3 linked regions of the Saccharomyces cerevisiae S288C genome follow. The gene in region 1 interacts genetically with each later gene. Each region holds a gene or a part of one and is shown in the gene's direction. Other genes may lie near its edges.

Region 1 (8,777 bases):
TGTAGGAGAATCTTGCGCTTCACTTATTGAAGTTTTGAAATATTTCCTTGCCGGCGTCGCCAGAAGGCTGTTAGATTCAGTATCCAGGTTGGGAGAGATCAATTCGTTTATCGTTAAGACTCTCGATTTGGGAGTCTCATTTACCGTTTCCCAATTAGGTGTCTTAAGAAACATTATATTCGTCTATTATTTATCCGTTTGTGCTCAGGTTCTTCTTCCATCCTCTTGAAAATACAATAAAATAACGAAACATTTCATTGCTTAGCCTTTCCTTAAATAAATTTCCTTATTCTCTATTCTTAGGCTCCTGTTCCCTTTTTAGCTTTTAGCCTTTAATGCACCGGTACGAGAATGTCCAAAAATAGAAATTCGCTACAATTAAATGACGCGTAAAAAAACAGTTAGAGGTAGTTGTTGAGAAGAAGACAACGTAGTGAATATGAGTGAATGATGTCTTTATAACTAACTAACTAATGACGACTAATGTTGTTGATACCATAGATAGGCAGATGCCTTTTTCCTGCGCTATACAATTTATAAATGAACAAGGCTGGCTAATAATATAAAAAATCAAAATCTTATTAAGAATGTTATGAAACATGTGTGCTAGGAAAGACAAATGGGTAGTGATGCTAGTTGAAGTTGATGAGCCTCGTTCTCCTTTTAGAGAGAGTATTGTTCTTATCATTGCTTGATGTAGCATTGTCGATACCTTCCTTCAAGAGAGCTTCCATGTCGTGATTACCGCACAATGGAATTTCCCCATTGAATATATAATAATCATTAGTAATGGCAGTCTTGCATAAGAAACAGTTTAGACAATCCACGTGGAATCGTTCCACCTTATCATTTTCCAGACATTCACCCTCTATGAAATTTGAACAAACCTTACAAATACTGTGATTCTCCTCGTGATAGTGCTTTTGACAATATGGTTCATCGCCTAGAATATAACAGGGAACATGTTTATTGAATTTGATACCACATTCAATGCATTTAAAACATTCACGATGCCATTGACCCGACAGTTCGTTTTCCTTTTTGGAAAACATTCTTTTCCCTGTGACTTCCAAGCCGCATGCTCTGCAAGGTCCCTCCCCAGGCGGATATTTAAACTCAATGGGCTCCGTTTCTTTATAATCTGCATCAGAGCTGTATCTCGTAGTGCCGCCGTTAGGTAATACATGAGAGTCATTAGATTTGGAATTATCAATTTCTTCTCTCAGATCTGTTATGTTGCGCTTATGCTGCAGTTGTAGTGCTTCAATTGTGGGAAGTTTCGTTCTGAAAGTTTCTTGCGAACCCATCCCTTCATTATTGGAGTATTCTACGTTCGACTGTTTAAACTTGTAAAAAATGGGTGTGCCACCATTAGTTGTAGATTCAGATGGCGCGTCTTCATCGACATCGCCTTTATCTACCAGAATAGTTTGTCTGGATAAGTTCGTATTGCTGTTTTGCACAATTGATGTTTGCTGCGTTACGGGTATATCCATGCTGGGATACCCAGATAAATATGCGCTTGACTTTTTGAATCTAGAAGCCTTTCTGTCCACTGCGTTGAGGCAATTGCCGTTCATATCGAGCTTTGCATTTCTAGATAGGGAAACATCGTCTAATTGAGCAATCAATTGTTCGACTTGGAGGTTCGTAGCAGTGTATGGTGTTTCCACGTTTTCTGAAGAAGTTATTGAAAGACGTTTCTCATTTAACCCATCAAGACTTAAATCTTCAACTTTTGTTGACGATGATGACACACCAGGTGATTTCTGTTCCTTTGAAGATTCCAGGCCAGAAAAGTTATCATCAGGATATATTTTAGAGTCTAGTGCGTTCATGGTTAAAGATGGTGTATTACTTTCCCTCGTAACATTAATTTCCGGAATTTTAGGTTCTGTATTCTTTTCCTCTTGTTTTGCTTCTGGAAAATCATCTTGAAGTGGTTCATTTTCAAGATTCATCTGTAGTTTAGGATCTGGTTCAAAATTTAGGCTTTCAATATCATTCTCATCCTCCTGCTGTCCTTCACTTTCATATTCGATTGAACTTTCCTCTTTTTGCTGTTCTTTTCCGAGTTTTTGGTCGAGCACACCTCTGTTATCGGTTTGGTTCATAGAATTTACAACGCTTGCAGTGTCATTTTGAGTCAGCATCATGAAACTTCTTTCAATAGGGCTCAAATCTTGTTCCCTTTCAGTATTACCAGCATCTTCTTGTTCGAAGTTGAAGGGGAAGTTATCTGCGGCTTGGAATTCCTTGTTAGCAGGTGATTTACATGTATGCCTAGAGGCAGCATATTGTTCCGCCTGACGGTCTAAGTCGCGTTCAAAACGGAAGGGATCCTCTTGCGAAGCACGCTCGCTGGGCCTGGAAATAGAACGAGATATGTCACTGGGTCTCGAAGACGTAAAATTGCTATTCTTTGGAGGAGTTACACTCCGCCTCTCGCTATTCTCCAATACGGGAGGCGGATAAATGTCAGACTCGCCCTTTACAGATGAATAAGCACTCTTTGAAGACGCCGTATACGCACTCTTCATCGTGACCGGAACAGATGGGGCGGCAGATACATTTCTTTGACGGGTTATTGGCGGCGACTTCACGGAAGCTTGTAAACTTCCAGTGGAAGCATTCCTCTGACTACTGAACGGATTACGCGGCTTAGTGTCAAACCCTGCTCTTTCTAGAGCAGTTTTGTAGCGGACCTTCGGATTTATTTTAGGGAAGGGGGACCCGTAGATTGAGTTATACATTGACTTGAGCGTTTCTTTTGCTAAATTTATTCTTGTTTTTCCCCTTACGTTATTCACTATAAGCTTTGAAGAAGCTTGAAAAAAATTCGGCTATAATATCCTATTCTAGCTGTATAAATTAAATATTCAACACAGCAGAAATATATTTTAAGGCTACCTCTTAAATTTGCAACACTCCAGCTTTTCTATTATTATTATTTACTTATTTTTTCATGTTTCCTATTATTCATGGAATTGAAAAAGGACGCGAATTGAAAATTTCGAAAGAAATAGGGCTAGGCGCTTCAAAAAGTCATTAGGTTTACTTACCAATATTAGTAGGTTAAATATTAGAAAAAAGGAAAAAAGATCTTAAGGGGTTTAAAAAAAGTAGGGTAAACTAGGGCTGACATATTACCCCTCTTATACGATAATTGCGACTATGAAACGCTAAACCACAATTATAAAGTATGGTTGATTCAAATTGTCATTATGTCATTATTGTACTCGTAAAAGAGGCCTGTATTCAAGTATTTGATCAAAAAAATTAGCGCTGTAATAATTATTGAAGGGAGTACAGGTATATGTAATAAAAGTCTGAATGAGCAGCAAAATATCAGATCTTACATCTACACAAAATAAGCCCCTCCTTGTTACGCAACAACTAATCGAAAAATATTACGAACAGATCCTGGGCACTTCCCAGAACATAATTCCTATTTTAAATCCGAAGAACAAGTTTATTAGGCCCAGTAAGGATAATTCAGATGTTGAAAGGGTGGAGGAGGATGCTGGTAAAAGACTGCAAACTGGCAAGAACAAAACTACGAACAAAGTAAATTTCAACCTGGATACTGGAAACGAGGATAAACTTGACGATGACCAAGAGACAGTAACAGAAAATGAAAATAATGATATCGAGATGGTTGAGACAGACGAAGGCGAAGATGAAAGGCAAGGGTCATCTTTAGCCAGTAAATGCAAATCATTTCTTTACAACGTTTTTGTGGGAAACTATGAAAGAGACATTCTTATTGACAAAGTCTGTTCACAAAAGCAACATGCGATGTCATTTGAAGAATGGTGTTCTGCGGGCGCCAGATTGGATGACCTCACTGGGAAAACAGAATGGAAGCAGAAATTGGAAAGTCCCTTGTATGATTACAAGCTAATAAAAGATTTAACATCTAGAATGCGTGAGGAGCGCTTGAATAGGAATTACGCTCAATTGTTGTACATCATTAGGACGAATTGGGTACGAAACCTGGGAAATATGGGGAATGTAAACCTATATAGGCACTCCCATGTAGGCACCAAATATTTAATTGACGAGTATATGATGGAGTCTAGGTTAGCGCTAGAATCTTTAATGGAGTCTGATCTTGATGATAGTTACCTTTTGGGTATACTGCAACAAACGAGAAGAAATATTGGTCGTACCGCTTTAGTTCTCAGTGGGGGTGGAACTTTTGGTCTTTTCCACATCGGTGTCCTTGGTACTCTATTTGAATTGGATTTATTACCCAGAGTGATTAGTGGTAGCAGTGCTGGTGCAATTGTAGCAAGCATATTATCTGTCCATCACAAAGAAGAAATTCCGGTTTTACTAAATCATATTTTGGATAAAGAATTCAACATTTTCAAAGACGATAAACAGAAAAGTGAAAGCGAGAATTTGTTAATAAAAATATCTAGGTTCTTCAAAAACGGTACGTGGTTTGATAACAAGCATCTGGTAAATACAATGATAGAATTTTTGGGAGATTTGACATTTAGGGAAGCTTACAATAGAACGGGTAAAATTTTGAATATAACCGTTTCGCCGGCATCTTTATTTGAACAACCGCGCTTGCTGAATAATTTGACTGCACCAAACGTCCTGATTTGGTCCGCCGTATGTGCATCATGTTCACTACCGGGAATTTTCCCCTCGAGCCCACTTTACGAAAAAGATCCAAAAACGGGAGAAAGGAAACCATGGACTGGTAGTAGTTCGGTCAAATTTGTCGATGGTTCTGTGGACAATGACTTGCCCATTTCTCGTCTTTCTGAAATGTTTAATGTAGACCATATTATCGCATGCCAGGTGAATATTCACGTATTTCCCTTTTTGAAACTATCACTATCCTGTGTTGGCGGGGAAATTGAGGACGAATTTAGTGCAAGATTAAAGCAAAACTTATCAAGTATATACAATTTTATGGCCAATGAAGCTATTCATATTCTAGAAATTGGAAGTGAGATGGGAATTGCCAAAAACGCGCTTACAAAACTGAGATCGGTATTATCTCAACAATATTCTGGTGACATCACTATTTTGCCCGACATGTGTATGCTTTTTAGAATAAAGGAGCTGTTGTCAAACCCAACAAAAGAATTTTTATTAAGGGAAATCACCAATGGTGCAAAAGCTACGTGGCCCAAGGTTTCCATTATTCAAAATCACTGTGGCCAGGAATTTGCTCTGGATAAGGCGATTTCTTATATCAAAGGTAGGATGATTGTCACCTCCTCTTTAAAAACCCCCTTCCAATTTGCTGATTCAGTCATTGGATTAATTAAAGCTCCAGAGCAAACGTCAGATGAGTCCAAAAACCCAGAAAATTCAACATTGCTAACTAGGACTCCAACCAAGGGTGACAATCATATTTCCAATGTTTTAGATGACAACTTATTAGAATCAGAATCGACAAACTCTTTGCTATTGTTACGTGAGAATGCAAGCACATATGGGCGGTCACCTTCCGGGTTTAGACCGCGGTATTCCATTACGTCCGCTTCTCTCAATCCGCGTCACCAAAGAAGGAAATCAGATACTATTTCAACTTCAAGGCGACCAGCCAAATCCTTTTCATTTTCAGTTGCTTCTCCCACATCAAGGATGTTGAGGCAATCCAGCAAAATCAATGGACACCCACCGCCAATTCTGCAGAAAAAAACAAGTATGGGCCGGCTAATGTTTCCTATGGATGCCAAGACCTATGACCCGGAAAGCCATGAACTTATCCCACATTCTGCCAGCATTGAAACACCTGCCATGGTAGACAAGAAATTGCATTTTGGCCGAAAGAGTAGATACTTGAGGCATATGAACAAAAAATGGGTCAGCAGTAGCAACATATTATACACAGATTCGGATAAAGAAGACCATCCTACATTGAGACTGATAAGTAACTTCGATTCAGACGCAATGATTCATAGTGATTTAGCGGGCAATTTCAGGCGTCATAGCATTGATGGAAGACCCCCTTCTCAAGCTACAAAGAGCTCACCGTTTCGATCGAGGCCTTCTTCTTCAACGCAGCACAAAAGCACCACCAGTTTTACTCAATAAGAAAACACGGGCTTGCTTATATATCCTCTAGATATTCTTTTTCATCTATGTATTTATTCGAATGGCCTTTCTCATTCATATCATTTTCAAAGCGGAAATCGAAATCATTGTTTTCTCTCGAGCTGCACTAAGAAAAAAAGCCACTTTACTAAAACAATACCTTCAACATATTTGAAAATATTATTATGGTGGAAGAAAGATATTGGTTACACAAATGAGTCAGTCTTACGAAGCAGGAAATGCCAATATGGGCCAAGGGGAGGATGATGAATTTGATGGCTATTTCGAAGACTTTGACAACGATATCATGCCAAATAGTAATAATGGACAAAGGGTTGGTACTAATGCTGGATTGTCATTCAATGACGAAGTAAATGTTAATGATGATGATTTTTTAGACATTTATAATATGTCCCCTAGAGAGAGATTGATGCATAATATCAGGAAGAATGTTCAAAAATTACAGTTTTATTTTTATTCACTACGCTTATGGCAACAGATTATCATTGTCCTCCTCGGCATAATGCTAATGATAATGGGTATATTGTTGCTCGTCTTCCATAATGCGATTTTACATAAAGTTGTTGTTACTTCGAACGATTTGAGAGAAAAGATGTCAACACATTTTATATTAATGGTTCTGATATTCTTTGTCGCATTTCCTCCTATGATTGGCTACTCCTTATTATCCACCACTACTGGGTTGATCTATGGTGTCAGTTTTGAGGGATGGGTTACGCTAGCTTTGGGATCTGTAACAGGTTCCATTGCCTCTTTCGTTGTGTTCAAGACGATCTTGCATTCAAGAGCAGAAAAGCTTGTGCATTTGAATAGAAGATTTGAAGCATTGGCTTCAATTTTACAAGAAAACAATAGCTATTGGATTCTAGCTCTACTGAGATTATGTCCCTTCCCATATTCTTTGACTAATGGTGCCATAGCTGGTGTTTACGGTATCTCGGTACGCAACTTTTCCATTGCCAACATAATAACCACACCAAAGCTGTTCATCTATCTATTTATAGGTTCTCGTGTAAAGAGTCTCGCAGAATCTGAATCTACAGGATCTAGGGTATTTGACTTGGTAAGCATTATTATCACATTATTAATCCTAAGTCTTACAGCATGGCTCTTATACTTCAAGACTAAGAAGAGATATTTAGAACTACAAAACCGCGACCGTCAAGTGTCCACTGATCAACTACCTGAATTGTCTTTTGAGGTCTAATCCTCCGTATACGTTTATATATGTTTAGATAAGTTGGTTTTATATGGGTAACCCAAATTACTATTTCTACTTCTTTCTACGTCCGATATAAAGAACTTAAAAGACAAAAAGCAGTTTTTCGAAGCGACATCAACCAATCTAAGTTAAGGTATGGAAAGATAAAATACAAGAAATGTTACGCAACATCATCAGGTTCAAAGGATTTGGAAAAGGGACCAGTGGAGGATTTTTAAAACCTGTATCATTTCGTGTTCAGTTAACGCGATGTTACCGCTATGACAATGGTCCTTCATATCGTCGATTTAATAATGGAGAGTATTCCCAAAAATCATCGTTTAAAAGCATTCTTCTCGATAAGTCATCAAGAAAATACTTAGCTTTATTATTTGGTGGATGCTCTCTCTTTTATTATACACATTTGGATAAAGCACCGGTAAGCGATAGGTCCAGGTTCATCTGGGTATCGCGTCCATTAGAGTTAACTATCGGAAATTACACATACAAATCAATTTGGAGACAAACGCAGCAGGAAATATTACCTCCACAGCATCCGCTGTCCATCAAAATTGAGAATATTTTCATGAAAATTGTCGAAGCTGCTTATAAGGACCCTAGTGTAGACAACTCACTACTGGACGGAATCAAGTGGGAAATTCATGTGGTCAATGATCCAACTGCTTCACCAAATGCATTCGTTTTACCAGGGGGTAAGGTCTTTATATTCAGCTCTATTTTACCTATTTGTGCTAATGATGATGGGATTGCCACTGTTTTAGCACACGAATTTGCTCATCAGCTAGCAAGACACACAGCCGAAAATTTGTCGAAGGCTCCTATATATTCTCTTTTGGGTTTGGTGTTATATACTGTTACTGGAGCTCATGCTATCAACAATATACTATTGGATGGGTTTTTGCGAATGCCAGCATCAAGACAGATGGAAACCGAAGCTGATTACATTGGCCTGATGATAATGTCAAGGGCATGTTTTCAACCACAGGAGTCAATAAAAGTGTGGGAAAGAATGGCAAATTTTGAAAAGCAAATGAATAGAGGGGGTGTTGTGAATATGGAGTTTCTAAGTACACATCCAGCAAGCACTCGTAGAATAGAGAATATGTCGAAATGGTTGCCAAAAGCTAATGAAATTTATGAACAATCTGATTGTAGCAGTATGGGTAACTATTATAAAAGTTTTTTCTCAATGTAAGCACTCCACGAGTTATGCTCTTTTCTTTTGTACCCAATAAATAACCCTTTGTTTTATGCATGCATATAACTATATAATAACATATATGAATATTTTGCCTATTAGCACGCTCTTCCCATAAACTAAAAAAAAGGCTTCCTTCTTTTGAAAGGTTTCATTGAATTTTCTTTGCCGTTCAGTATATTTTGCTTTTTCGTTTTTTGCTTTTTGTCTTCTTTGTTTGAATTGTCGGTCATTTTGAGCTCCTGTATCACACTGTCTCTCATATCCTTA
Region 2 (5,690 bases), on another chromosome or scaffold:
GAGAGGCGCTATGGGATCTATGAATCAGGTTTCTATCAATCTAGGTATCCTGCTGACCCAAACCTTGGCACTCAAGTACGCAGACTCCTATAACTGGAGGTGGCTTCTCTTTTCCGGATCCGTGATTGCGGTAGCGAATATTTTAGCTTGGCTCAAAGTGGACGAATCTCCAAGGTGGCTGGTGAGCCACGGATTCGTCTCGGAAGCTGAAACTGCTCTGTTCAAGTTGCGTCCAGGAACGTACCAACAAGCGAAGCAAGAAATTCAGGATTGGCAGCGTAGCCATGGGCACAACCGCGACCCGGAGTCAAGCGAAGAGACTCATTCAGGACCCACACTATGGCAATATGTTACCGATCCCTCATACAAGAAACCGCGCACAGTTATACTCGCCATCTTGTCGTGCCAGCAATTTTGCGGCATCAACTCTATTATCTTCTACGGTGTAAAAGTGATCGGCAAGATTCTACCGGACTACTCGATTCAGGTAAATTTTGCCATTTCCATCCTCAATGTCGTTGTCACTCTAGCAGCATCTGCGATCATCGACCACGTCGGGCGCCGTCCATTATTGCTTGCCTCGACTACGGTGATGACCGCCATGTCGCTGCTGATCAGTGTAGGTCTCACCTTGAGCGTATCCTTTTTACTGGTCACGGCCACTTTTGTCTATATTGCCGCATTCGCCATCGGTCTGGGACCCATCCCCTTCTTGATCATTGGTGAGCTATCCTACCCGCAGGATGCCGCTACAGCTCAAAGTTTTGGTACTGTGTGCAACTGGCTTGCCACCTTCATCGTCGGATACCTCTTCCCGATAGGCCACGGCCTCATGGGCGGCTACGTATTTGCGATCTTCGCCGCCATCGCTGCCATGTTTGCTACATATGTGTACAAGCGTGTACCCGAGACAAAGGGCAAGACTACATACAGCGAGGTTTGGGCTGGCTACTGATCTGTAGCCAGTCATATATACCTAAGCAACTATTTTTTACTTCTTTCTAGCTATTCATCTGTTTTTTATTTTCTTCTTCTTCTAGTAACGAACGGCTACATGAGTATATGCACTCATTTAGTTAGTATCTATGTATATGTACGGAACTAGGCAAACCAAATGGATTGCTGTTGTATGAGATCCGTGTGGCGGAAACCATGACTACCGCTTGTACTGCCGGGGCCAAAATAGCACACGCGCGTCATGAGTCGCTCACGGGCGAGCGTCTATCTGCATATTTTCCTGAGCCCAATATTCGGTTCTGCGTCTTAGCGGCATAAATGCATCCGGCAGGACTGCCGAGAAAAGGAATATACAATGGCAGCCCTCTTGGCGCATTTGATGTATGCGGATTTCCAACCAATCTGCGAATGCATCCGTGCCAAAATGAAACGGCATTTAGCTTGAAAGAGTCGGAATTCCTGCATCAGATGGGTACCATTTTACCACAGTCTTTTGACTCACGCAGAGTACTCGCGTGCAATTGCTTGCAGGTATAATATATACATATATATATATATATATATATATATATATATATATGTACAATTTGTATGACAAGTGGGTGCACCTTTCTCGGTCGGAATTATATGGGGAACTAATACTACGGGTTAGAGCTATAACAATTTCTGCACACTTTAAAAGCGTTTTCATTTCATTTCACCACGTATATATATAGCCTATATATATATCCGCACTAGAACCAAATGGTCAATAGTAAGAGGCAGCAGAGAAGCAAGAAAGTAGCGTCATCCTCCAAAGTGCCCCCCACCAAGGGGAGGACATTTACTGGGTGCTGGGCATGCAGATTCAAGAAACGCAGATGCGACGAGAATAGACCAATCTGTTCACTGTGTGCCAAACATGGAGATAATTGTAGTTACGATATCAGACTTATGTGGTTAGAGGAGAACATCTACAAAGTACGCAAGCATTCACTGATCAGTTCATTACAGGCTCGCAAATCGAAATCGAAACCATTGTGCCAGAAAATCTCAAAATCAAGGTTTAAACAAATGACCCATTTTAGACAACTATCACCCCCGACAAGTGACTGCGAAGACAGCGTGCACGAGGCAAGTAAGGAAACTACGCTTCCTAACGATAATACATTCACCATAAGCGTACGGAGATTGAAGATATACAATAACGCTGTGGCCTCTGTCTTTGGTAGCATGACAAATAGAGATTATACTCAAAAGCGCATAGACAAGAAGTTGGACGAATTGCTTAATATGGTGGAAAACGACATATCTGTGGTCAACCTCAATTGCTCCAAACACGGGCCTTACTCAGTTTTCAGGGCCAATCCGGCTGCAGTTACCTCTGCTCTTACAGATCAGCTGCCGTCGCCGGGTCATTCGATGTCGTCAGCAGAGGAAACCACTACTGCAGCGCTGTCATCGCCGCCAGAAGACAGCACCTCTTTGATCGATATTATCCAAGGCAAAATTTTCGGGATCCTATGGTTTAATTGCTACGGGAACATGATATTGAACCGACAAGAATACACGACGTGGTTCATCAATAAGATGAGGAACTCGTTGACCACGGAATTCATACGCTTCCTTGGGAAAATAATTGACGACCCGGACATCAATATGGCCTCGTGCCTGTTCAAAGAGTGCATCGCTCGTTGGAGTTGTGTCGATTGGCAATCCATAGCTATAACAATGCTGGTCATCATTCATGGATATACCTGCCCCAACTTGACAAAGCTTCTAAGAGTGTGGTTTCTCCAGCAAAAGCTATTGAGATTTTCGATGTATCCGCTGGTCAACTTTATCATAAACAATACACAAGATTTAGACGTCCTGTACCATTGTAATGGATTGCTAGGGAATGCCGACTTATTCGAGGATCCCTACCAGGACGAGCTTACGTCGGAGTTACATGTCTTGGTCACGGAGCGCCTAGTGAATAGTTGGAAAGATACAATATTGCAACAACTTTGCTCATGTCAAGATACCACACTTTCATGTTCCCAACTGCGGTACTGGCAGCTACAACTGAAGTGTAATCAACAATTTTACAAGGATGTATATGCCATGCAGGACTAGGCTTATTGAGCCTTCCCTTCACTCATTTCAAGAAAAAAAAAGCCAAAAGCTTTGCTTGGATATTATACCCATTTTTAACGACATATTTTTTCCCACTACTTTAGATAGAAATTCATGATATTTTGTTTTATATTATATATGTATATATATATATGCACGAAAAAAAATTAAAGTTTATCACTGGGAGATAGGGTTTCCTATCTGCCAGGGTGAAACGTTTATTTTACTGATTTCTTTGTCTTTACTGACATTTATCGGATATCTATCTATCATTCTGAGCCTATGCTTTTTGTTAGCCGTAGACTAAAAAAAAAAAAAAATTGAAGGAAAAGAAATGAAAAAAGCAAATGAGTTGCAATTTTAGTATATTGTAAAAGAGTAACCACATAAAAAAACTAAACAAGAGCCGGTGCAACGGCATTACTCTCTTAGATAAAATTGCTAGTTATATAAAGTCAGGATACTCTTGAGCTATTTTTATCATTTCTTTTGGGTACAACAGACACACGAAGGTATAAAAATAAAATACATTGATGAATCATCGTGATGTGCACTCCAGATGAAAACGATTACAAAACATCAACTGACCCAGATACATCTGCAAATACAAATCATACTCTCGAAAAAAAGAAGAGAAAAAAGAGAAAAAACACAAACGTGGCATGCGTGAACTGTTCGAGATTGCATGTGTCATGTGAGGCCAAAAGGCCATGCTTACGATGTATCAGCAAGGGCCTCACGGCTACATGCGTTGACGCTCCAAGAAAGAAAAGCAAGTACTTGGCTGGAATACCGAATAGAGAGCTCCCAATGAACATACAACCGGACCTTCCACCCCGCAAGATCATGATACCCATTTATAACAACTCCAGCAATAGTAGCCTCAACGTAAATAACATGGGAGAACAGCAAAAATTCACCAGCCCACAACATATAGTTCACAAAGCTAAATTCCTATCGAATGCTGCAGATTCCGAGTACTCTATTCTGTCGAATATCATCTATCAAGACACATTGTCTAACAAGATCCCTATTGACATCCTGTACTCCAACACCAATTCCACATCCAACTCCACAATAGGCAATAGCAGTAACAATAGCCCTACGGGCACAAATACAAGCCCTGAAGAAACAGAAATGGAGAAAATTCGCCAGTTGTACAGCGAACAGCGAGCAAACATACCCCCACATCCGTATCCATCTTCCAATCAAAACGTTTATTCTATTCTACTGGGACCAAATTCAGCCAAGATTGTAGCTTCGCAAGTTAATCTTTTCGCGAACCATTTCCCCTTAGTGCCCGTTGATTCAGCTGATAATTCCTTAAACTTTAAAAGATTATTGCCACGGGACCCATCTGAAAAGAGCTCCCAAATTAATTGGGACTCAAGCATAAACCAATATTACTTGAACAGCGAAACGGTAACATTTCCCGAGTTGGCTATCCCCTTAAAGCGGAGGAAAAACCATTTGGTCTCTGTATCCCTGGAAAGCTGTTCACCAGACGCTGCCAACATCAAGAGCAATGTAGAATGGGAACATTCATTACGTTATTCTACTCCAATGGAAATATACACCTCCATAAATGCCCCCTTTTCGCATACACCTGGATTCCACCATCTTTTGGTGTACCTAAAGCATCGATTCAACCAGCAGGATCTGGTGAAGATGTGTCGGTCCATTGCCGAATTCCGGCCCATTTTCATTGCGTGTTCTGTAACTTTAACCGAGGAGGACATGATTTTTATGGAGCAATGCTACCAAAGAACTCTATTAGAATATGTAAAATTTATTGCACAAATCGGTACCCCGACATGTATTTGGCGAAGAAATGGTCAAATTTCTTATGTCAACGAGGAATTTGAAATTCTATGCGGATGGACAAGAGAGGAGCTACTAAACAAGATGACTTTTATCGTAGAGATCATGGACGATGAAAGTGTACGCGATTACTTCAAAACGCTCTCTAAAGTTGCATATAGGGACTTCAGAGGATCTGAGAAGATGAAAGTTTGCAGGCTCTTAAGCCCCATCAAGGGCAAGATAATTCATTGTTGCTGTATGTGGACATTAAAAAGAGATGTCTCTGGTTTGCCCCTCATGATCTTGGGTAACTTCATGCCCATACTCAATTGACTTTTTTTTTCTTTTTTTCTCATTTTACTACCTCGTATTATATAATACCTATGCATAGACCAAAAGTAAGTCAAGAACTGTGTTCTTTTAAAAGTGTTAACAGATTCCAGCAATTTTACTTGAAGCCTTGACCAGTTTCGTAGGCGTCTGCTCATTCTGGTCGATATCCAGAGGCTCGAGCACATATAACGAAGGGCCCCTATTGTGTATATGGCGGCCTTTACGAATCTTCCGATATTGGGTAGCTCCGTTTTTCTTCCCTTTTTTTTTTTTTTTTTCTTAAATTTCTTCTTCTTTTTTTGCTCTTCGTTTTATTTCACTCACCTGTTGTCGAAAAAAACATCAGGCGTATACCATCAAAAAACTCAACCAATTGAGCTAGTTTCACTTTCTGTACGCATGAGTTTCCAATGTCTCACAGGGCATGTCTCACACACCACCGCCTTCCACCTTACATAACGAACTGCGGAAAAACAGCATGCCACATGGTACCTAACTGG
Region 3 (6,007 bases), on another chromosome or scaffold:
TCTGCTCATCTTTAAGCCCATCTGCTGCTTTCTTAAGAAGGTATCTACTTATTGAACCCATAATCAGATTTTTCTTGAAAAACTTTTAATGGAAGCTTAGCACCTGCTTCGGTCTTCTTTATCTTGGCGAACTTTGCCAAATCTGTAGTTGTTTCAAATACTGTCATGTTGGCAGTCTTCTTTTTATATGCGTTCACGCCGATGGCCAAGCCTACAACATTTTCTCAAAAAGGGACCATTGTCCCTTGCTGCGCCAAAAAAAAGAAATAGGCGCATACGTTCCGTCATCTATCGCTCACAAAAAGTGGAACCGGTAGGATTTTATCACTGACACATACCGTTGTACTAAGAGAGCAATTAAGTCGACAACGCAATTGATATGCGCTCTTCGTTATCGAACCCTAGCGGTGTATTTTTCGGACAAACTTACTGTTCATTATGGCCGAATGCTTACCTAAAACGACACTTCTGGTCGTTTTCAACTCTCATGCTCTAAGCAATTAGGCTTTTGGGGCGAAGCGGACAAGCTCTTAAGGCCGTGAATAAAGAAAGGGAGATGAAAGGACGCCGTAGCAGCTGCAATAGCTTTCTTTCGGTCATCAAAAATCCCAGTGAATTCTTGGGGGACACTTGTGGGGTTGCATTACTCGAAATGCTTCGGACGAGTACCTGATTCGTTAAACATATATATATCTCATGGTGAATTGGAAACGGTTGTAGATCTTATATAGGAAAAGTCATTCATAACTAGTTCCATGCCGACTAAGTATTTCGTCCAGGCTCGGCGTTCTTGTTGAACGAATTTTCCCATAATCATCCAGATTTCCAAGAACCTCGCCTTCGTAACATTTTGCAACAACAAGTGGATGGAGAATTTTGGCTATTTTTAGTTCAAGAAAACTTAGAAATTTTTCAACGGTTTTTTATCTCGTTAGTATTATCATTCCAAAAGTATACTTATGTGGGTACATAGTTATAAATATATGAGGGAATCTATCTATTAAGGTTAAAAAAGCGTTACATCGTAAAACGGTAATCATGGCTGCTCAATTTTAACGTAGTCACCATTCTTGGCAGAAGATTTTAAAAACGCGTCCACACAAGCCAAATGGTGAAATGCAGTTCTGGGTGTGCCTAGGTATAAGGATTTGTCCTTCTTGCTGACAGCTTCGTGAAAATTCAAAAATTCAGCGTTGACGCCGAAACTTTCATCATTATCGACTTTAAAAATTTGTTCGTCACCGTTATCTTCAGCTGAACCCCCTAATTTGACTTTTACAACGGGGTCTTTTTTGTCTGATAAGTCAACGGTAACGGTACCATTCTTACCATAGACTTTCAAGAAAACCGACTTTTCGGTAGCACCAAAGGCAGACCCATAAGTAAAACTTCCGATAACCTCTTTATTTTTCAACTGGACAGTAGCAAAGACAATATCATCTGCACCGGAACGTTCACGCACCTGTCTCGTTAATGCAGAAACAGATCCAAATTCACCGAGTAGGGAAATAACGAGAGCTAATTGGTGGACACCACCATCAGATAGAAATCCGCCAATGTGCTCTGGTTTTTGTCTCCAGGTTGTGGTCAAATATTTATTTTGAGTAACAAATGGACCGGTAGAATTGTGGGTGAATGCTACTACAGGACCAATTTTCTCGATCTGCTCCTTTGCGATTTTAATACATGGTAAATATAACCAATTTTCAGCCACACCAACGGGCAATGGGGTGGATTCTGCTATCTTGACAATCTCCTTTGCTTGGTCTAAGTTGGCCGCAATTGGTTTTTCCAAAATAACTGGCTTACCTGCTTTAACTGCCTTCTCGACAATATCAGCATTAAATTGAGCAGGTAGCAAAGCGTCAATGTAGTCGACATGAGGGTCATTCAAAATTTCATCTAGATTGTCGTAAACCTTATTTTCAGGTATGTCAGCAACCTTTGCAAAATCCAAAGCTTTTGCCTTATGTCTGTTGAAGGCGGCAATGACTTTGAATTTGTCAGGAAATTCCTGGTAGGATGGGAGATGTCTATCTCTGGCAAAAATACCTGTACCAACTATACCGACGTTCAATGGGGACATTTTTGGCTATTACTTTACTTTTTGGAACCAAGAAGTGATTATGGGTCTATTCGATGTACAGAAACAAATAGGTTTGAGCGAGTTCGAAAGTTTATCCAGAATAAGTAGTTCTTTTTATAGACGAACACCTATGTATTGTGATACATAATCATGCTGAATTTTCAACAGGGGATAACTCCGTTTATTCCCCGGCGGAGGGCGGAATTAAGCGGGGTTATTAGTTGATTTGGAAGCCACGTCTTTTTTAATTTTGAATGAGAAGTGAGACTACGTACTAAGTTAATCTATTATTATCTTTATATGTAAAAAAACCCCGACCGTGGTGAAAGGCTTCTTTGGTCTTGCTTTGACAATTGCTTAGTGGAAACGATACTTTGTGTCCAGACCTAGATGTATTTAGCAACAGCTTCTCCATCGTAAATTGTAAAAGGCGTATCCTTACCCACGATGGCGATTGAAAGATTGTCTACAGTCAAGGATTCGTCCCTTAGAGACTGGCTGATAGCCTCGACGCCAGCTTTGATTAGTTCATCCGGGTTCCCGTCAATTTTTATAAACGTGTCTAAAGTTCTCTCTAGATAAGTCTTTGCCCCTTGGCTTCTTGCGCCAATAGCTGTACCATATAGTTCTGTGACATTTCCGGAAGGTTGGAATTCTAAAAGATGAGCACCGCTCTTGTCATACCCGATGATCAACAAACCAACACCGTAGGGTCTGCCCCCATAGGATTGTGTATTTTTCTGTGCTTTATCGCAAAGCAAATGACCTGCTCTCTCGACGGCAAGCTTTCTGTTAAAAACTAAGCTGGAGTAATTACACTGTTGTCTCAAATAATTACTTAAAACTCTAGCATCTGGAGCCAACCCGGCTAACGAGAGCCCCATGTGCTCGTCACATTTGATGATTTTTTTCTGGTATGATGACAATTCGTCTGCATTTCTTTTCAACGCTACTAAAACAGCATGAGTGTTCGAACGTAACCCCACAGTGACGCTCCCTTGTTTAATAGCTTCCAAGGCGTATTCCACTTGGAACAGACGGCCTGTAGGAGAAAAAGTGACTGTGTCCCCGTCGTAATTGTTCCTGAACATGTTTTGTAAATATATGAAGGCTTAGTTCAATGTATTCTTACCCACTTCTCTTGAACTTCAATTGATCACCACGTCTACCTAAATGTAGTGGCGTCTTGGTTCTTTTCCATACTTTGACGATACTTTTGAATTTTTAATTTTGCCACTCTATAATAGGGTATGTTCTTTATAGGTCATTTTTACTTTTTTAGTAGGGCATTTTAATAAATACTAGGTTTTTAGTAATTTCGGAGATACTTATCCTAGGTCTGAAAATTCAACCCTAACCCTTTTTTTCTTATGTTTTTTTTTTTCTGGGTAGCAGCTAATAGAAATTAGTACTGATTACATAGAGAAGTACTATGACACAATAGTAAGGGAATCATCTATTCATATATCACATCTTTGAGTTGCCGTTAAGCATGAAGGAAACGGCGCAGGAATACAAGGTGTCTGCTGTAATACCGACCCTTTTGAAAAACTGGATACTGCGTGTAGTGTATGCCACATTGGACCATATACCTCCTTTTGTGTGGGAAATTCTACATGTCATCACCGATATTTATTTCTTCTGGGTTCAAAAGCTGATTAACTATGTGCGGCCACACTCAAGAGTCATTTATTATAACGCTATTAAGAAGTTAGATGAGTGTGATACGTATCAAATGTGGTGTCAGCAAGCGTCCGTAGTGGATGAAATAACAGGCGCAAATTTATGGCGGCGGAATTTCTTTTCGAGGAGGTACGACTTCAATTCTGTCATTGAACAATATAGCATATTGGAAAATATGTTAAGGGAGGAGAAGTATGATGTAGTTAAGGAGAAGTTTTCGACTACAGGCCCTTGTATGTTGAGGAACTTTGCGGGTATTGGAGATAAAAAGTTGTTCACAAAATCTTTGATGGGTACAAAGCTACTTATTGAACAATATTTGACCCGAATTCTAGAAGGCTTGGATATATTAAATAATCAAACTTTAACTCCAACATCCTTTTTCCAAAGATGTAAGTTGTCACTGGGCACAACAGCATTAATCTTGCAAGGTGGTTCATTGTTTGGGCTGTTTCACCTTGGGGTGATTAGAGGTTTATTGTTACAGGACCTGATGCCTAATATTATAAGTGGTAGCTCTATGGGGGCATGCGTTGCAAGTTTATTCGGTTGCTTGTCCAATGAGCAACTAAAGCAATTATTGACCGATGACAACCTCTTGAATATCATCAAGAATGATGTAGATTTATTAAAAAGCTGTGGATACGGTAATTTAGAGCAGCACCTAAACCTGGGGACTTTGATTCAGAACCTAATACACCACGGTTATTCTCAAGACGTTTATCTTTTTATCCGGTTTGTTATGAAATATATTGTTAAGGAAAAAACTTTTGAAGAAGTTTATCAAATTACTGGAAAAGTTTTCAATATTGTTATTCATCCAACTGATAAATCATGCCCTAATTTACTAAATTATGTGACAACCCCAAACGTATTAATCAAGTCAGCCATTGAATGCTCACTTGGTTCTGGTGTAATTTCAGAGGATACATCACTATTATGTAAAAATTTAGAAAATGAAATTGAGCCTTTTCTTAACATCAATAAAAATAAACAAGTCAAATTTCTTACCCCAGAAAATGCCAACAATCCGAGCATAACGGAGAGCCCCTATACTAGGTTAACGGAACTATTCAATGTTAATAACTTCATTGTTTCTTTGGCGAGACCATACTTGGCACCATTGGTGGTAAATGATTTGAAGCATGAAATAAAAACGTCAAAATATTACTATTATAAGCATTATCCAAATATGCCTCCTATAAACGCGAATACAGTAAGAAAAACACAGAGATCCTCTTCGCAATCACCCATAAAGGCAGGAACTGTCGAGGATCTTGAGCCAGAGCCTTTAATGAGCCCTGTGCCCCCAAGTTCGGCAGTCAACGATTCAGCAGAGTACATAATCCCAGAATTGGGCATACCGCAGTTGAACTTTACTGAAATGGAACCGCTGGCGTTTAAATTTAAGTATCATCTGGAAAGAAAATTAAAAAATATTGCCACTATGGAATTTCGACATAGGATGGAGGTATTGGATAATTTAGGCCTGTTGTGCTCATTAATAAAAAGACTAATAATTGATGAAAAGACTCCCAGATCAGCTACGGAGATTGCTGTGGTACCAAGGATGAAAAGTCTATCATTAACAAGGATTATTGAAGGTCAACTAAACAACATTCCATACTGGATAAAATCTGGTGAACGAAGTACATGGCCCGCACTAGCTTTAATTAAGACAAGATGTGCAGTCGAATTTAAATTAGACGACATAATAAGAGCAAGACGGAGTAGGTAGTATCGTTTCCACTTTTTTCTGTCTTATTTTTTTTATTGATAGAGCTCGATTGCATATATTTTTCATTGATATTGTACTTAAAAATATATTCAGTTCATAGAAAAAACAATAATACGAGAATCAATGTGCCTCGTATATAATCTTATCATTATTTAGCGATAAAATAGTTTTGTTGACTCCTTCTCATTCAGATATAGGTATTCATTTTCAACGACGTGTAGGCTTGTGTTTGAAGTTGCAATGGGTGCGCCGCCCCTGCAAACGTGCAATGAGCCGGTTACGTCCTTTGCAAAACCGGTCTTCAGAGGATTCAAGTTCAAATTAATCATTGATTTGATAAAGGAAGATTTGTAGAAATTTTGCAGATTCGAGGAATGAACAGAAGCATCGTATTCATCTATATTAAATATGTCCGAATTGGAAACAATGATTAGCACTTTGCATTGCCTCAAAAGAGGTGTGATGAACTTATTGTTTAATTCTGAACAAGTTAGGCCGCT

What was found. A genetic interaction does not mean that the proteins touch.
Region 2: mutations in TGL4 (region 1) and ERT1 together harm fitness more than expected from each alone (negative genetic interaction), as found in Saccharomyces cerevisiae (2 studies listed by BioGRID).
Region 3: of TGL4 (region 1) and TGL3, changing one enhances a phenotype caused by changing the other (phenotypic enhancement), as found in Saccharomyces cerevisiae (3 studies listed by BioGRID, with this or other methods).

What each region holds. Positions count from the first base shown.
Region 1 is NC_001143.9:602,922-611,698, reverse strand, and holds TGL4 (triacylglycerol lipase), read left to right. Parts: upstream 1-3,333; coding exon 3,334-6,066; downstream 6,067-8,777. Other genes in the region: DNA-binding protein SRL3, read right to left, coding at 1-174; PXL1 (Pxl1p), read right to left, coding at 633-2,753; TVP38 (Tvp38p), read left to right, coding at 6,281-7,294; OMA1 (metalloendopeptidase), read left to right, coding at 7,467-8,504; DEAH-box RNA helicase PRP16, read right to left, coding at 8,627-8,777. UniProt on the Saccharomyces cerevisiae protein: Lipid particle-localized triacylglycerol (TAG) lipase. The lipid droplet/particle is a lipid storage compartment which serves as a depot of energy and building blocks for membrane lipid biosynthesis.
Region 2 is NC_001134.8:697,854-703,543, reverse strand, and holds ERT1 (Ert1p), read left to right. Parts: upstream 1-3,600; coding exon 3,601-5,190; downstream 5,191-5,690. Other genes in the region: VVS1 (Vvs1p), read left to right, coding at 1-955; THI2 (Thi2p), read left to right, coding at 1,702-3,054. UniProt on the Saccharomyces cerevisiae protein: Transcription factor which regulates nonfermentable carbon utilization. Activator of gluconeogenetic genes like PCK1. Involved in restriction of Ty1 transposition.
Region 3 is NC_001145.3:898,879-904,885, reverse strand, and holds TGL3 (bifunctional triglyceride lipase/lysophosphatidylethanolamine acyltransferase), read left to right. Parts: upstream 1-3,578; coding exon 3,579-5,507; downstream 5,508-6,007. Other genes in the region: DIA1 (Dia1p), read right to left, coding at 1-61; YMR315W-A (uncharacterized protein), read right to left, coding at 493-600; YMR315W (uncharacterized protein), read right to left, coding at 1,037-2,086; PRE5 (proteasome core particle subunit alpha 6), read right to left, coding at 2,473-3,177; Elongator subunit ELP6, read right to left, coding at 5,660-6,007. UniProt on the Saccharomyces cerevisiae protein: Lipid particle-localized triacylglycerol (TAG) lipase. The lipid droplet/particle is a lipid storage compartment which serves as a depot of energy and building blocks for membrane lipid biosynthesis.